Linked DNA regions of Daphnia pulex. The protein of the gene in region 1 binds, or shares a complex with, the protein of each later gene. Links are inferred from orthologs where the notes say so. Each region holds a gene or a part of one and is shown on either strand. Other genes may lie near its edges.

Evidence for each region.
Region 2: BUD13 homolog (region 1) and probable small nuclear ribonucleoprotein G share a complex: the UniProt entries of both Homo sapiens proteins name them as parts of the minor spliceosome. The link is inferred for Daphnia pulex from reciprocal best matches to the Homo sapiens genes BUD13 and SNRPG.
Region 3: BUD13 homolog (region 1) and spliceosome-associated protein CWC27 homolog share a complex: the UniProt entries of both Homo sapiens proteins name them as parts of the activated spliceosome. The link is inferred for Daphnia pulex from reciprocal best matches to the Homo sapiens genes BUD13 and CWC27.

Annotation. Positions count from the first base shown.
Region 1 is NC_060019.1:12,605,955-12,611,204, forward strand, and holds BUD13 homolog, read left to right. Parts: upstream 1-1,804; 5' UTR 1,805-1,827; coding exon 1,828-1,940; intron 1,941-2,042; coding exon 2,043-3,435; 3' UTR 3,436-3,488; downstream 3,489-5,250. Other genes in the region: glutamate carboxypeptidase 2-like, read right to left, coding at 1-9, 98-188, 275-458, 520-642, 706-997, 1,074-1,194, 1,260-1,320; follistatin-related protein 1-like, read left to right, coding at 4,366-4,437, 4,760-4,790, 4,875-5,153, 5,235-5,250. UniProt on the Homo sapiens protein: Involved in pre-mRNA splicing as component of the activated spliceosome. As a component of the minor spliceosome, involved in the splicing of U12-type introns in pre-mRNAs.
Region 2 is NC_060026.1:11,524,689-11,528,798, forward strand, and holds probable small nuclear ribonucleoprotein G, read right to left. Parts: upstream 2,359-4,110; 5' UTR 2,201-2,358; coding exon 2,169-2,200; intron 2,106-2,168; coding exon 2,083-2,105; intron 2,021-2,082; coding exon 1,896-2,020; intron 1,830-1,895; coding exon 1,776-1,829; 3' UTR 1,738-1,775; downstream 1-1,737. Other genes in the region: sideroflexin-1-like, read right to left, coding at 2,747-2,806, 2,872-2,966, 3,035-3,124, 3,187-3,314, 3,379-3,464, 3,533-3,608, 3,674-3,943, 4,002-4,110. UniProt on the Homo sapiens protein: Plays a role in pre-mRNA splicing as a core component of the spliceosomal U1, U2, U4 and U5 small nuclear ribonucleoproteins (snRNPs), the building blocks of the spliceosome.
Region 3 is NC_060020.1:8,995,890-9,001,585, reverse strand, and holds spliceosome-associated protein CWC27 homolog, read right to left. Parts: upstream 4,038-5,696; 5' UTR 3,643-4,037; coding exon 3,601-3,642; intron 3,540-3,600; coding exon 3,374-3,539; intron 3,305-3,373; coding exon 3,261-3,304; intron 3,187-3,260; coding exon 3,150-3,186; intron 3,089-3,149; coding exon 2,955-3,088; intron 2,876-2,954; coding exon 2,846-2,875; intron 2,777-2,845; coding exon 2,640-2,776; intron 2,577-2,639; coding exon 2,418-2,576; intron 2,329-2,417; coding exon 2,197-2,328; intron 2,130-2,196; coding exon 1,942-2,129; intron 1,866-1,941; coding exon 1,745-1,865; intron 1,682-1,744; coding exon 1,519-1,681; 3' UTR 1,474-1,518; downstream 1-1,473. Other genes in the region: ATP-dependent RNA helicase SUV3 homolog, mitochondrial-like, read right to left, coding at 1-209. UniProt on the Homo sapiens protein: As part of the spliceosome, plays a role in pre-mRNA splicing. Probable inactive PPIase with no peptidyl-prolyl cis-trans isomerase activity. As a component of the minor spliceosome, involved in the splicing of U12-type introns in pre-mRNAs.

The DNA.
Region 1 (5,250 bases):
GACATGGATCTAATAAAAATAAGAATGGAAATGAAATTCATTGACTATATTTGTATCAAAGGTTGTTGACACAACAAAAATGTCAACGCTCACACACCTTAACAAAACTTCTGCCTCGTCGTATCCGATGGGCTGAACAGGAATTTTGGGTAGTGGAGCTTCAGCTTCCGGCAGTCTGTAAGCGCCCTCTTATAACGTAAATATAACTGTTTTGTTAGTCTTATTGTGTTATTATTACTCTTGTTACATCCGCTCACTATACAGCTTTATATACCTAAGGCTGGGTACAGAGGGGTCAAAGGGTCGCCGTAACCCAACAGAACTGAACCACTTTGAACAGCCATGCCCGGAAGTCGCGTTGTGTTGGGATAGACAGATGTGCGCCCTTCCGGGGCGAAATCTTTGGGATCAGAAAAGAGTATCACTCCAAGAGCTCCTCCATCTTCGGCGGATTTCACCTGTAGTACAAATATCAAATGTTAGTAATAATTCAATACATTTTTAAAAATAATTGATTACGATATTGCCACGAAAAATCGCCCCATATCGAGCAATCACAATTCGACCACGAATGTCTATGCCGAGAGATTTCAAGTACTCAAAATCTTGTTTCCGACCATAATTTGCGTAAATGAGTTCCCCCTATGAAATGGTGTAATTAAGTTAAGTGTCATCAATAAAACAACGATAGAAATTTAATTTCACCTCGACAGTTCCGTTAGCTGAATAAGCGTTAAAATTGGGTTGAACTAACGGAGAGAATTCTTCGCTGGAAAAGAGTGGCGTCTGACGTCCTGAGGTGGTGAAGTTCACCTTGCCGTTGGAGTCGAGTAGCGAGACCTGATTGGGGTTGCTCATGTCTGGGTAGGAAAGCAGCACCTTGTAAGGAACCAATTGGACTTCGTCTAATCCTCCCTCGACGAAACGATCGCGCACCCAACTAGCCACTTCCAAATCCTGTGGAGTTCCAGCTAAATTCGGTATACTGCTCAAATATCTGTGACAATCATTTTGGGAGTTAATTAGACAATGAATCAAATTTGTCTTTTGATTAGCGATGATGTTGGACTTACTTGAGATATTCGCCAATATTTGATGCACTGAGCTCCTCCATCAAAGTGGCAGACATTTTCGCCTTCTGAGGCGACACGTCGTCCCTATCATTTCCGATAGCGTAACGACCGATGAGAATTCCTTTGTCAGGTGGAAAGATGAAGTCAAACCAACACATACAGTAACATTTCAAATGATTACGATACCTATGATAAGACAAATTACAGAAGCCGTGCAAATTAAAATCCAGTTGGGTTTTTGCGCCATCGTTTCGCTGCGATCACTTCTCCACACCCTTCCGTTCTCGTTTACTGTACCTCAAATAATAACGACGGTTTGAAAAGAAACAGGTTATTAAATAGCTGAAAATATGACAATGAAAGCACGGGAAGTGCGGGTAGAAAGTCGGGTTCGAGATTGCGTGTTCCATATGCAGCGGCACGCAAATACCTGGACAGTAACTAAGGTGATTTGACAAGCCAACCAGACCATCGGTTGCTTGTGGTTTAACACAAGACAGGTCGCATGCTTAACTGACGGGTGACTCTTGTAAAAAATGTAAACGCCATAGGCAATGAATACATTTCTTTAAAATCGCTATTACATAAATCTATTTTTTTTAAACAATTTTTTTTATTTTGAAAACTTCCCGATAGATGGTGTATAGTTTCACGCGTTAACCATAGGTGGAGCTTGTATTCATATTTCGTGTGAAAGCGTTGACAAACGCGAGGGATTACGGTTTGTAAATATTCCCCTGAAATTATTGTAAAAATGAGTGCTCCTATGAGCAAATTAGAATATCTGAAAAAGTACATGTCCTCTTCGAAAAAAGAAGAAAATAAAGTCAAGAAAAAGAAACTCAGGCCCTTACTGAAAGCCAAAGGGTAAGTCAGGCTTTTTGTGAACTTTAGACAATACACATCATTTTTTAATTTTAACTTAAGCTTTTTCTTAATCTAGTCAATTTGTTTTCATTTACTTATTAGGGGCATCAAGATCGTTGATGAAGAAATAGATTTGAGGAAGATAGCTGCAGGATACGAGAAAGATGAAGACCAAATTGACAACCAAGAAGATGCTCCTCTGGTGGCTGGGGTTGTCGATAATCGTTCCATAGAAATGATAACCAAACAAGACTTTGTGGAAAGTTCAAAGTGGAAGAGACTTGGTGTGGATGAAAATGACAAACCAAAATCCATGTCTAAATCAAGTGATCGAGATATTGATTCAAGTGACAGTCACTTACCAAGGAAAGATTCCACTGCCTTGAAACGACCAATCACAGTGAAGAAAGAAAGACATGATTCAGATTCAGATCCCAGTCCTCCACGTAGAAGACACGATTCTGATTCAGATGCCAGCCCACCTAGAAGAAAGCGCCATGATTCAGACTCTGATCCATCTCCACTTAGAAGAACGAGAAAAGACTCTGATCAAAGCCCACCACGAAAACGTCACGATTCAGACTCAGATGCTAGTCCTCCTCGAAGAACAAGGAAAGACTCGGATCAAAGCCCACAACGAAAGCGACACGATTCAGACTCGGACCAAAGTCCATTAAGAAGGCGTAAAGGCTCCGATTCCGACCAGAGTCCACCAAGAAAGCATCAAAATGCTGACGGTGATCTCAGTCCTCCGCGGCGGAAGAAAAACGTTGATTCCGGTGCCCAAATGCGCATCAAACCAGATCCAGACGGAGACCTCAGCCCTGAGCGTCCTAATAAATCAACATCACGCAGCGGAGGAGCTTCGGAGAAACTGACCAAAACCCTAGATGGAAAGATGGCCGGCCTTCAGACTGGCAGAGCTTTGCGTGAGGAGACTGATGCATTACGCAAGAGAGAAGAGGAAGCCTTCCGCAAAATGGACAAATCACTCACTGGGCAGAACGCCACGACTGCCATCCGAGCTGGCAAGCTGCGCCAAATTGAAGCCAAGCAACAGGTTGATAAAGAAAAAGCCGAGAAGATTGCCAAGCTGCAAGAAGCTTACCAAAAATGGAACAAGGGTCTTAAACAAGGAGAAACGCATTCGACGCAAGTTGCCGAAGCCATTCACGAAATGTCCAAACCGCTGGCTCGTTTCGCCGATGACGAAGATTTGGAAAGGTTGTTACGCGAACAAGATCGTGAAGGTGATCCCATGGCTGCTTACATGGCCAAGAAAAAGGTCAAGAGCGGTGGTGACGGCAAGGGGAAAGCCGCTAGACCTGTCTACAGGGGCCCTGCTGCTGCTCCCAATCGTTTCGGTATACTACCCGGCTACAGATGGGACGGGGTTGACCGCTCGACTGGCTACGAGAAGATGTACTTTGAAAAACAAAACAACGCCGTGGCCCTTCAGGAGGAAGCCTACAAATGGAGTGTATCCGACATGTGATTCCGATGATGAATTTACCTTGACTGAATAAAGCCATGCAATTACTTTTAGTAGCCAATGACGCCTGTCCTTGTTCTTAACATTTCCCTTTTTATTACCTCGACGGAATGGGGCCCATCCATCAACATTCAAAATTGCAGGGTTTTTTTCAGATTCAACGAGAGGCGCGCGGAGGAAATTCCATGCGGATGGCGTCAACACTTTGCACATTTTCCGAGTCGCGACTCTACCAGCAGTTCGTGAAAGTTGCCCAACCCATGTTGTAGAGGAGGTGCGGCTATTCATGAATCGTCCGTCGTGGTTGAATCGGAAAATTCTATCCGGAAGATGACACCCTTTCCGGCCTTGGCTGCCTTCAAATCATTTTTCTTCTGTTGTTCAGCAGCAGAAAAAGAAAAGAAAGAAAAGGCGTTGGGGTCGTTTCTGTTGAGTGTGTCGAGTGCGCTATGGCCAGATGGCGCTTTGGCTGAGTGTGTCGAAAGAGAAGGGAGGAAGGTCACGGCACGAAGTGGGCCGGCCGTTTTCAGGTGTGCCCTGTTGTCCGTGTTGTCTATGTTTCGGGGCTTTCTCTCTTCTCTTTTTTCTTGTGTTTAGTCTCCTCCTTTTTGATTCCCAGTTTATCCAGACCTTCTCTCTTTGCCGTCTCATTCTCTCTCTCTCTCTCACCACTGCTAAAGCCATTGGCCATTGGCTCGCACGACGAGACGAGAAAACATCACATCTCTTTTCGTCTTTTGAAAGTACCTACGCAGCCGCTCTTCTCCGAGCTTCAGTCTTGGTCGTAGCCACCTGGTAACACGGCCGCTGCTGGTGCTCAGTCTGTACCTCTTTGCTGTTGACTCTCTGGGTTTTTTGCCATTGTTGTGAAACGAGAAGAAAATTCCAGATTTGCAATTATAGAACTGTCGGATTGTTGTGCAGAAGTGAAAAATGCTGCGGATACTCGGCCTCGTTTCCCTCTTTTGCATCCTCTTCCAAGCTGCTTTGGCATCCAATTCTGAGGTAAGCACAATCATTCGAAAGAGTATTTTATTTTTTTTTCCCCATTTCTTCTAAAAAAGGATAGGCTTATTTATCTCAAAACGGTCACCAGTAAATCCTGTTAGGAATTTGTGTTTTTTTTTCTTCCTACCAAGCAGTGGCATCTATGATACGGGTGAAAATTCTAATCTTCTTCACGGCCTGGTCGTCACGTTAATTCTTTTTAGTTTGACCCATCTGTACAGTCGAAATCTTTTTTTCGTATGGAAATGTGATGGTTTGTTTTGTGTATACTTGTGTGGGTTACTTATTCCCTTCTCTGTTTCTTTTTTTGTTGGTATAGGAAAATGCGCTGGATATGAGCTTGGGCGAAGGTACAGTAAACACAAAGCATTTTATCTCGACAGAACGTTTCGAGTTGTCTAGAAATTTATTGATGGGATCTTGACGATGAATAGATGAATGCAGTATGATGGTATGCCGGGCTGGAAGAGAGTGTAAGGTGGGTGCCGATGGCGAGGCTGCTTGCGCTTGCCTGGCCACTTGTCCGGATCATTTTGTCCCCGTCTGCGGCAGCAACAATCAATCCTACGATAACTTTTGCTTGATGCATCGCGATGCCTGTCTGACGGGCGTTCACATCAGTCTCAAGAAAAAGGGATACTGCTCCAACAAGTCGATCAAGAAAAAGTCCAGCAAAAAGGATAAACTTAAAGATGAAAATCACTTTGAGCCAGGTAAGTTTTATTCAATATTTATGCTTTTCGTGATGGACAAAATATTCAAATGCTGTGCTTTTTTATTGGGGGGAAATCCAGTGGTGTGTTTCCAATG
Region 2 (4,110 bases), on another chromosome or scaffold:
CGTTTATAATACGATACATAATATACGATCAAATTAAAATTTGTCACAGAACAAATAAATGGTGATCCCCGCATAAATTGATTTTCTGTAATATTTTCAGCAACGCCATCTGGCGATAAAGTAACTAGTTTTTAATCCAATTTTCATCAACGCCATCTAGCGATAAAGTCACTAGTTTTTAATCCAACTAACTGTGTTTTCACAATTTTTTTTATTAATTACATTAATTATTTAACCGCTAGATTGGTCACGTGTACTTACAACATCAATCTGAGAAAAAATCGAGAAAGTCTGTACGACACGATTGGAACAAGAGTTAATTCTGTATCCTTTCTCTTCCTGTAATTTAGTTTATTCGCAAGCTGTTATTTTTAAATTACACTCGACTTCCAGCAGCTTTCGTGTCAATTTCCCAAATCTATTGAAAATGTAGTTTGCATCAATGTAGATTTTTGGTTTCAATGTAATGTTTTCTTATATAAGTGGTTATAAAATATAATACATGTATGCATTGTTGGATTTGTAGAATACTATCTGCTACTAATTAATTAATAAAAATAAACATCTTAAAATCTGTAATTCGTATGTAAGGCATCTGTATGCATGCGTACAAATTACAGATTTAATTGTCTATTACGGCAAGGGAAATACAACATAAGTAATATCTTCAGTGTAATATTTTTTGTGAGGAAGGAGTGTGAAATGTATTTAATGATTATTGAAAGAATGAATTCAAACTATCCACGGTTCATTGAAATTATCTAGTAACACAAACAAATGTGAACTCCACTAAATGAAATATTTGGAAAAACTAAAAATGATTCTCGGAAACAGACACCGAAAAATGGCTACCTGGTCGTAAACAAAATACTAACGATTTGAGACTCTGAGTTGCCAGCAAAGCAAGTTCTTTGCCAAGTCGTCGTTTTGAGTCTCCCCACACCGCCCACACTGCCAGAAACTTTTCCAGACCAGAGCAATAGATGCCTGGTCGGTTCTCGGCTGTGTTGGCTTCCCTATCCCGGTTTCAGGGTAAACGTGGTCCGATTTGGAAACTGGAATGAGCGCTCTAGTGAGTGTGTCAGCTACTACGCTCAGCTACTTTTGAGAGCCTAGATGGCTCTATTTCCAGTTTCAACTTCACAATTCTGACAAGCTCCGCCCTAAAATGTCTGAAAATCGGGGATACGTTTAGTCGTTTACCCTAAAACCGGGATAGGGAAGCCAACACAGCCGAGAACCGACCAGGCATCTATTGCTCTGCCCAGACCTAGTCACTCTCATGTTAATTTTTCGTCTATCAGAATATAGGCCCCACCCTTGTGTATCGTCTGGAGAGCATAGATGGCGTTCAACAATTCCGAGCTCAACAACTATCTAACCTTCTGGCAGTGGCGCTGAATTATGTTATTTATATATACCACATAATATAAATAAGGTAATAATATTACATGCACAATCTCTCATCGTGATTGACGTGATCAAGCTTAATTTGTTTAATTAGCGTCAATAAATGAAATCTTTCATTACCGAAAAATTGTTTTAGAATTCTCATTATTTTTTTACTATTAATTTTAATTTAACATTAATTTCCAGCCATTATATTTCTTCTAATGGTGTTTTATTTGCAACACTCCTTAATTTTCAGTTTATTTGTAACCTTTTCATTCTTAATTCCTCTCAACCCAATGCTAAGATGGCTAAGAAAAGAGTAATAAAGTGGAATGTTTTAAATAATTTACAATTTGGATGACATTTATTTTTCAGCAGTTAGGCTACATGATTCTTTCCAGTGCTTCCAACATTATAATTGAGTTTCCACGAACAACCTAAATTTACATATAAATAGTTAATGGTATTTGAATTTATGTATGCCATGTTAATTTTAAACATACCACCATCCCTATGTTATTTTTCGAACCATCTTTAACTTCTTCAACGGTTTCATCAATGACCAAGTTCATGAATGGATCAAAACCTCTCAAGATCCCAACAATGTTCCTACCACCATTCAGTTTCACTGTGAAAAACAATTCTTCAAAACAGTTTTCAATAATAATTTAACAAAAAAATAATACTTACAAGACATTCTTTTATCCATGTACCTGTACAAAAGAAGTAGAGATCATTATTAAAAATGTAAATATAACTTAAGCAACAATACATACTTCTTCAACTCTGGTGGATGGGCCTTGCTCATTTTGGTTTGAAATAACTAATATCTAATATCTACGTTGATGAATATATCACTAACTTCAAGCAACTAGGAAAAAACGTGATACACCAAGAAAGTTTGGATCGTTTTTAATGTCCGATGCGCGATGCCAAACGTTAGGAACGCGTGTTTGCCAGATATTGAATTTAGAAACTGGCGGCTTTGCGAGACCGGCGACGAGACCTGGCGGCTGGGCGCTGGCGCGCTAAGGAATTTTTTATACAGCTTGTGGCTTTTTTGCCTTATTAAAACAGGAAAAAAATTACGATCTTCAATTAATTGTATAAATTAGCAGCTACAATTCTGTAAGAAAATATTTTTTAGCAGTTTATTTCTATAGCAAAATGACTACCAATTACCTCAACTGGAATGGAAACTACACCAATATACTTTGAGCAAAAAAAAATAAACTGTGGAAGTTACTTTAATTAAATGTGTTTTTCTGTTGTTTTTTTCATTTTCTAGTTGATCTAAGAAACTTGTACTGAGATATTTGCACTCGTCCACAGTAATTCAGTGATTGACTCAAATTTACAGGCCCTTGTTGTAATAAACAACAGTTGGGGGATTCGGGGATTTTCGAATCTTTGCCTGAATTAAAAAAGAAAAGATGTATGTTAAAACAAGAACCACATTAAAACGCTATAAAAAATTACCTGTAGCTCTGGTTCCAGACTGTCAACCGAAATCGATGCTTTTTGAGGAAACAGGGCACAACACATTGGAGTAGCGAAAGTAAGTAATACGCCACCTGTAAGCCAAATAATAATACATAATTGGCCGTTTACAACTACATGATAAATAGTTAATGTTTCATACATAAAGTAACTTGAATAGGTGCCGCAGACCAAGGGAATCGCTTCAAGAAGCCCTTTCGATCCAAATAATTCATCAGCAGAGGTGGTAGGACTGCATATTATTGTGCTGGATGTTTTATTTTTATCAGATTACTATCGTATTACATGAATTACCCATTCCAGGAGAAGCCATTCCGATACGACTAAGGACAACTTGAGTGATACCCCATTTGGCAGCAATCGAAGATTCACCGAGTACATTTCCGTTCTCATCAGAAACTGAGATTCCCTTTTGAATTTCACTAAAAAATCAGTCGTATTTTAAAGCATTAGTTATCTTATGCGACGAGAAAATGTTTATCTTACTGCATTCGCATCAGAGGAATATTTACACAGTTAGCGGCAGCAACAGCTGCAAAGGGTACCAAACGCCCAATAATAGGAGACATTGACTAAAAATTAATTTCTCATAAAGTTATTTACATTATGGTCCATTATATCAAGTTAATATTTTTGATACCTTGGTCAAGCTATTCAAACCAAGAGCAGTGACTAAAGCCCCACTTGTTGCCAGTGCATAAGATGTACCCAATTGTCTAAAAAATCAATAGATTATTATAACTTTCAGTGATTTATTTAAAGGAAACTAATTTATTGGTACTGATTGGTGATTGGGGAATTTCCAGATCTGTTGGTATAGTTGACAATGGCATTAAAAGACTGATTAATCCATTGCCAAAAAACAACTGCTGGAGTTGTTCGATAGAAAGTCATCATGCAACCAGTGATAAACATGTTACATGGAACCTGTGCACTCATTCTGCCAATAATCAACATTTTATCCCCTGTGTCTGGATGGAAAGCAGAGTCATAAACATGTTTGGCTTTCCATAATTCTGCAACAGTCAATCCATTTAGTTGCCCATCTTTCCTGCTCAAAATGTAAGTTGTAAATCATTATCTTTATAAATTCCATGTGCGGACTTCACCTGTATTTGGTCACAACTTCTTTTGCCTTATCCAGTTCTTCATCAGAGCACAGCAGATTTAGCGGATTCGTGGTAGTAAAGAAGTGGTTTGCTCGCCCTTGATAAGTTG
Region 3 (5,696 bases), on another chromosome or scaffold:
CATTTCATTATTTCTTCTTTGTTGAGTTTTCCAGTTAATTCAGCACCCACATTTGAACTATCTGGCACAGATTTGACAGGTAAAGGGACCATAAGTTGTGACACTGGAGGCATGGTCTTTTTTTGTCTTATTAGAATCCTGCAATAGTTAAAATTTGAAACATAAACACTGTGTTTCACAAGATACTTTATTAGGCCAGGCACAAGCATGTTGATTGATGATTTCTATTATAGTAATTGGACTTTAAGGTAGACACACTGTAGGCACTATATTTCATACATGGTGAGTTGGGAAAACCACATGGCCCTGCTGTATGTGGTTCCGGTAACTATGGGAACGCCGTACGTTAGCAGACGAAATTGCTACACGGCCATCTCTCCTGCACCGATAAACCCCGCCTAGTCACGTGATGGTTGCTTGTCTCTGATTGTTGCCTTTGTCGGTCCCTTTCTTTTTACTCCGCGTTTAGGGCAGGCTCCAAACAGAGTATAGGCCTAGTCGATTATTTGACACTCCCATAAAGACAGAGTAAATACGGAAATAGAATCCGGAAAGATCTATCCTGTGCAAAATCGCAAGACGATTCAAACGACACGAAGGGCACACGAAGTCCATATTTTTATCTTCTTTATTTAATACCGAGATAACCGGGATCCGGGATTGCAAATCGTGAAACATCACGAAAACACAAAGTCTCTCAAGGGCTCGTAAAAAGAATTATCGATAGGAAATGTAGCTTTTTCATCAAATCATTAAAATAAATCATTTTTCACCGTAAATGAAAAAGTCTAAGCTGATTTCAAACTTCGAATGTCTATTATATGAATATATAGAGAATATAATAGACTTTTTTTTCCTTTTTTGTATTTGAGGCATCGCGAACACAAAAAATCAAAGGAATGATCAATTAAGTTTAGTCTTATATTGAAAATAGGCCGGTTTTAGGCTTCCATATCTGGCTATCCAGATTCACTGAGAAAACGAAGACAGCAGAGACAGAAAACAGAACCTTGTTTAATTCATTTAAATAAATTTTGTGAAGTCAAAATCAACTTCGACCAAGTCTCCAGTGCCCCCGCCCTAGCGCCCCCGAAGAGTCCATTTATTTAGTCGTGCGCATTTACCATTTGGTTTGATAAAAACACGCGTCACACATTTAGCAACATTTAGTAGCTCTGCAATTTCCTATTCTTGATTCTTTTGCATAAGTCCGATGTTTCAACAGATAACCGACACAGGCACGCTGCTTTTATCCCCGGTTATTTCGTGACCGTTCGTGACCAATCCCGTTTATATTGATCCCACGAAAAATTTTGGAGAATTTTCCTTTACATAACAATTCCTTTACGCGTGCAGACTACTTTGGCTACAATTGACACACAAGTTTATGTTCCAGCAAGCCTAAGTGACATTTGTTTCTGATTTTCAAGCTCGTTGAATCAAAGAGAAATTGGTGAGATTAACAAACAAAGGTGAGTTTTATATGTGCATTTCAAAACTGGAGATCATTTTTAGTTTTTAGTTGAATTTCCTCTCTTTCATGATCTTCTTTGATTCCTCTCTTCTTCGTTTGTTTAAGGGGTTACGGGGATCGTAGATTTCAAACCAATCATCACTTTTTGTATTAGCATCTCGGGCTAACGAAGGATTTTTGTCTTCGAATTTCAACGTGTGATTCAACCTAGAAAGAAATAAAGAAATTCTGCAATTTTCAAATTTATAGGGATAAAAAATTATTTCTCACCATGCATCATCATCGTTTACGTCATCAATATCATCAACGCCTCCTTTCGTTGTCCGAGTTTGGCTAAGCTTACTCTGAAATTTTTTAAGGAAATTAAGGGTTTCAGCTTCTCGGTCCGTGCCTATTCCAAATAGAATATTAAAACTTGTTGATGATATGATGAGGTAACAAATATTTTAAACAATTGATCTATTTACCCTTTCCTCGCCGTGTTGTTTTTATGTCCGCATACTTCTTCTGCTGCTCATGAAAATCTTTAAGTATTTCATTATCTTCTTCACTGTCGCTAATTTTTCTTTTCTTAGATAATTCTTGATCTTGAGGAGTTTCACTTGGGTTTTTCATTTCCCTTTTCAAGTCTCTTATCTGTTCTTTGATTTGCTTTCTAAAAGTAAAGCATTTACTTATGAGCATAACTATCAAGTAATTGTTATGACTTGTTTGTTTCTTACAGTTTGTTGTTTGCTTCAGATTTCTTTTGGTTCGAAATGTCAACATCTACACTTTCAGGTGATACTTCTGGTTGCAAATCAGTTTGAGGCACAACCTTTTCAAATTGCCGTTCAATTTTTGTCGGTTTGTCGCTGAAAATATGACATGGAAATTTTACATATGAATGTAGACCATACACAGTCTTTGAAAATGATCTGACGGCTTGTTCTATTAAACGTACTTATTTGTTAACCCCGTTTCTACGTTGACTGCAGGAACAATGCTAAGTTTAGGGTCGTTAGTCAGTTCATGAGAAGATTTCCCACGAAAAGACTTAGTTGGCTGATGAACATCTGTTTCATCTTCTTCTTCGTCCCCAAAGGAAAGCAGCTGAAGATTCCTACAGAATCAAACACAAGCTCTTATAGCAGTTATAACAATATTACATAGCTGGACTTAATACTTTTTTTTATTTATTTTAGATTTTATTTCCTCTGGTTTCTTGATATTTTCTTGGCTAATCCTTGGTTCAATGTCAGGGAATGGATTAGAAATAACTTCTGTTTTAAAAATTTTAGGTGGATGACGAGGTCTATCTTCCTATAGCGTTTATGATTTTATTGATTTTATTATTTTATTATTTGAGTTTCAAAATTTAAATATACTTACACTATCAATATCCAAGTCATTAAATTTGATCTATGAGAAAGAGAAAAAATTGTACATTAGAATTTCTTGAATAATTTGTTCCCAGCGTAATTAACAAATTGTCAGTTACCATGTTGAACAAAGTATTCCCAGCAACCCTACCAAAAATTGTGTGCTTATTTTGCAGTTCCGGACAAGAACCCAAGGTAAAAAAAAACTGTGATTCATTGTCATTGTTTCCAGTGTTAGCCGTTGCAACCAATCCTTAAAAAGATGTTTGAAATGGTACATTATGTAATAAAAACACAGAAGATGTTTGCTTTACCTCTTCTGACAAATCGTAGACGTGAATGAACTTCGTTCTGAATACCAAAAGATTGTAAAAGGTTAATAAAGACTGAAATAATGAATTCTATTCAAATGAATACTATGTAACCTTGAATGGTTCCCCATAAATACTTTCACCACCATGGCCAGTCCCTAAGAAAAAGGGGTGGTAATTGTTTCAATCAAATATAAATAACAACAGATCACATTATTAAGTTTTACCAGAAGGATCTCCTCCTTGAGCAATAAAATTTGGTACCACTCGGTGAAAAATTGTTCCATTGAAAAATCCTTCAAGGCATAGTTGAACAAAATTTCTGCAAGCCTTTGGACATTCTTTGCTCCACAGTTCTATTTCAATTTCTCCTAGAGAAGTAGTCACAACAACCTAAACAAAAGTTACGTTTTAGCACGTAGTTCAATCAATGATACATGAAAAGAATACAAACTTTTCCATTTGTTGGTGGTTCTTGAACGTATATGTTACTCATTGTTGTAAATCGAGGAGAAAAAGGAAGAAAATCAAAATGAAACTAATTAAAATTCCGTGTTTTGATGTGTATAATGTGCAGAGGTAATGTGTAGCTCGACAAAGCTAGTAGTAGTAGCAATCTAGCATCTATGTCAGTTCTATGTCTAGTTCGGAGTTGTTGGCTGCTAGTTCGAGCGAACTGTGTTTGGTTTTTTTTTAAACAAACAAACCATTTTATCCTTTCGACTCACAGCGCTACTGGTGGCAGACGATTGCAACGCACTGTAAATAAGAGTTGCCTGATACTATGCTGGCCATACTCATACATTTATCGCTCTTGAATTCTGAGTTTCTGACGGAAAAATTCACTTATCTTCAGTCTTATTCGATAACTATCGTTGTATCGTATGGATTTAGTAAAAATAGATTTCCTTATAGGACACACATAGAACTAAGCTCGTGATTTACTGATTTGGAATTTCAAAAAATCTCTCCCAACTATTTCTTTATCACTCATGAAATAATTAGTTAATAAATTCATTTTAATTATTTTTCTCTTAAAATTTGGGATCAGGATTTCAACTGTGATGTCCCAAAACTGAAATCTGCATTTCTGTAAAAAATTAAAAATCTGCTGGATAGCTCCATACCCTTAATTTGATCTAGAAACCCTTTTTCCTCATCTTCCTATTCCTACCGCTATAATATCTCAATTGCGTTTTGTTTTAGGTATAGAAACTGAAAAATCTAAAGTGTGAGGAAAGCCTTTGTATCTTGTTTTCTACTGTGCTAAGAGTATTTTTATTACAATAAATATATTTTAAACATTAGATTTAAAAACTTAAACTTTACCGCGATCAACCTGACAAATTTTCTTTTATGAAATCTGGAATTTTTTTTTTTAATAACCCGACCTACTTTTAGTAGGCAAAGACGAAAATTCAGTTTCTTTTTTGGAAAGTTGTGTATTTTAGCTGAAGGTTATTAATTGACTAAGGAATAGGACAAACCAAGTCATGGATGAAGCTATGACCACAATGTACCAAACAATAAAAGTATGGCCTGCTTTCTCCAAATTCTATTTTCTCCCAATTTGGTAAACGAATCTGCTGCTGCGATACTTATTATTAGCATGTAATTAGCAAGCAACTTTACGGAGGCTTCAGAACAACAACCGCAACAAAATCGAATAGCAAGAGGAAACGCAAGTACCGTGTGAACGTGATGAGGATGAAGCCGGATGAAACGCCTATCGGACGATGACGCGACATGACACACTGAACGTATGGCAGGCTGACAAATTTTAGACTTTTTCACCTATTTTGGGGTTTTTCCGTAACAATCATTGTAAACCTTAAACAAATATATCTGAGACAACCGCGCATACAAATGGGGAGTTTCAGAGGAATTTGCATAATTTTAAATACATCTGAATGGTATTGTTAGTGTTTAAGCGTAATTGATGTGTAAACGGTTGTGAATAGAAAGTATTAGGGCGCATAGTTTGCGTGGCTGCTTCTCCATGGTTGATGAATCTTCGTAAACAGCCATGCAGCGTATAACGTTAGTTTAATAGCGACGTGACCTGGATTTCTTCGGTAAACCATTGGAAATTGCGGAACCTAGGAGAAAGTGAGGAGAGAGCAGAACAAATGAAAGGATGACGAAGAGAAATGTTACGATTAAAAGTCTACGAAATCCAACCACGAGCGGTAGGCATTCAGTGGTGTTCCTAGTGCCTCGCAATGAGGTAGTGTTTGGTCTCTTCACAAGTTACAAGGAAATGTTTTGATAAAACTATCAACGTCACATGAGTCATCATAGCTTTTCAATCAAATTATGGATCATTGTGTATAAGCGCCTCCCTTTTCGCCGTTAAATCTTTCGGACTTGCTTTTCTTTTTTGTTACTTGTCGTTGCTCCCAGTCGTGATTTCTTCAGTGGACCAAGTTACGCGACCGTGCTATGTCTTCCAACGCGGAACTAGCCGTTATCAGGAAACACTGAGTGTTATACTTCAAAAGCGGAATTGTGACGAAATTTCGTTGTTGTTACATTCTAAAATACAAACCG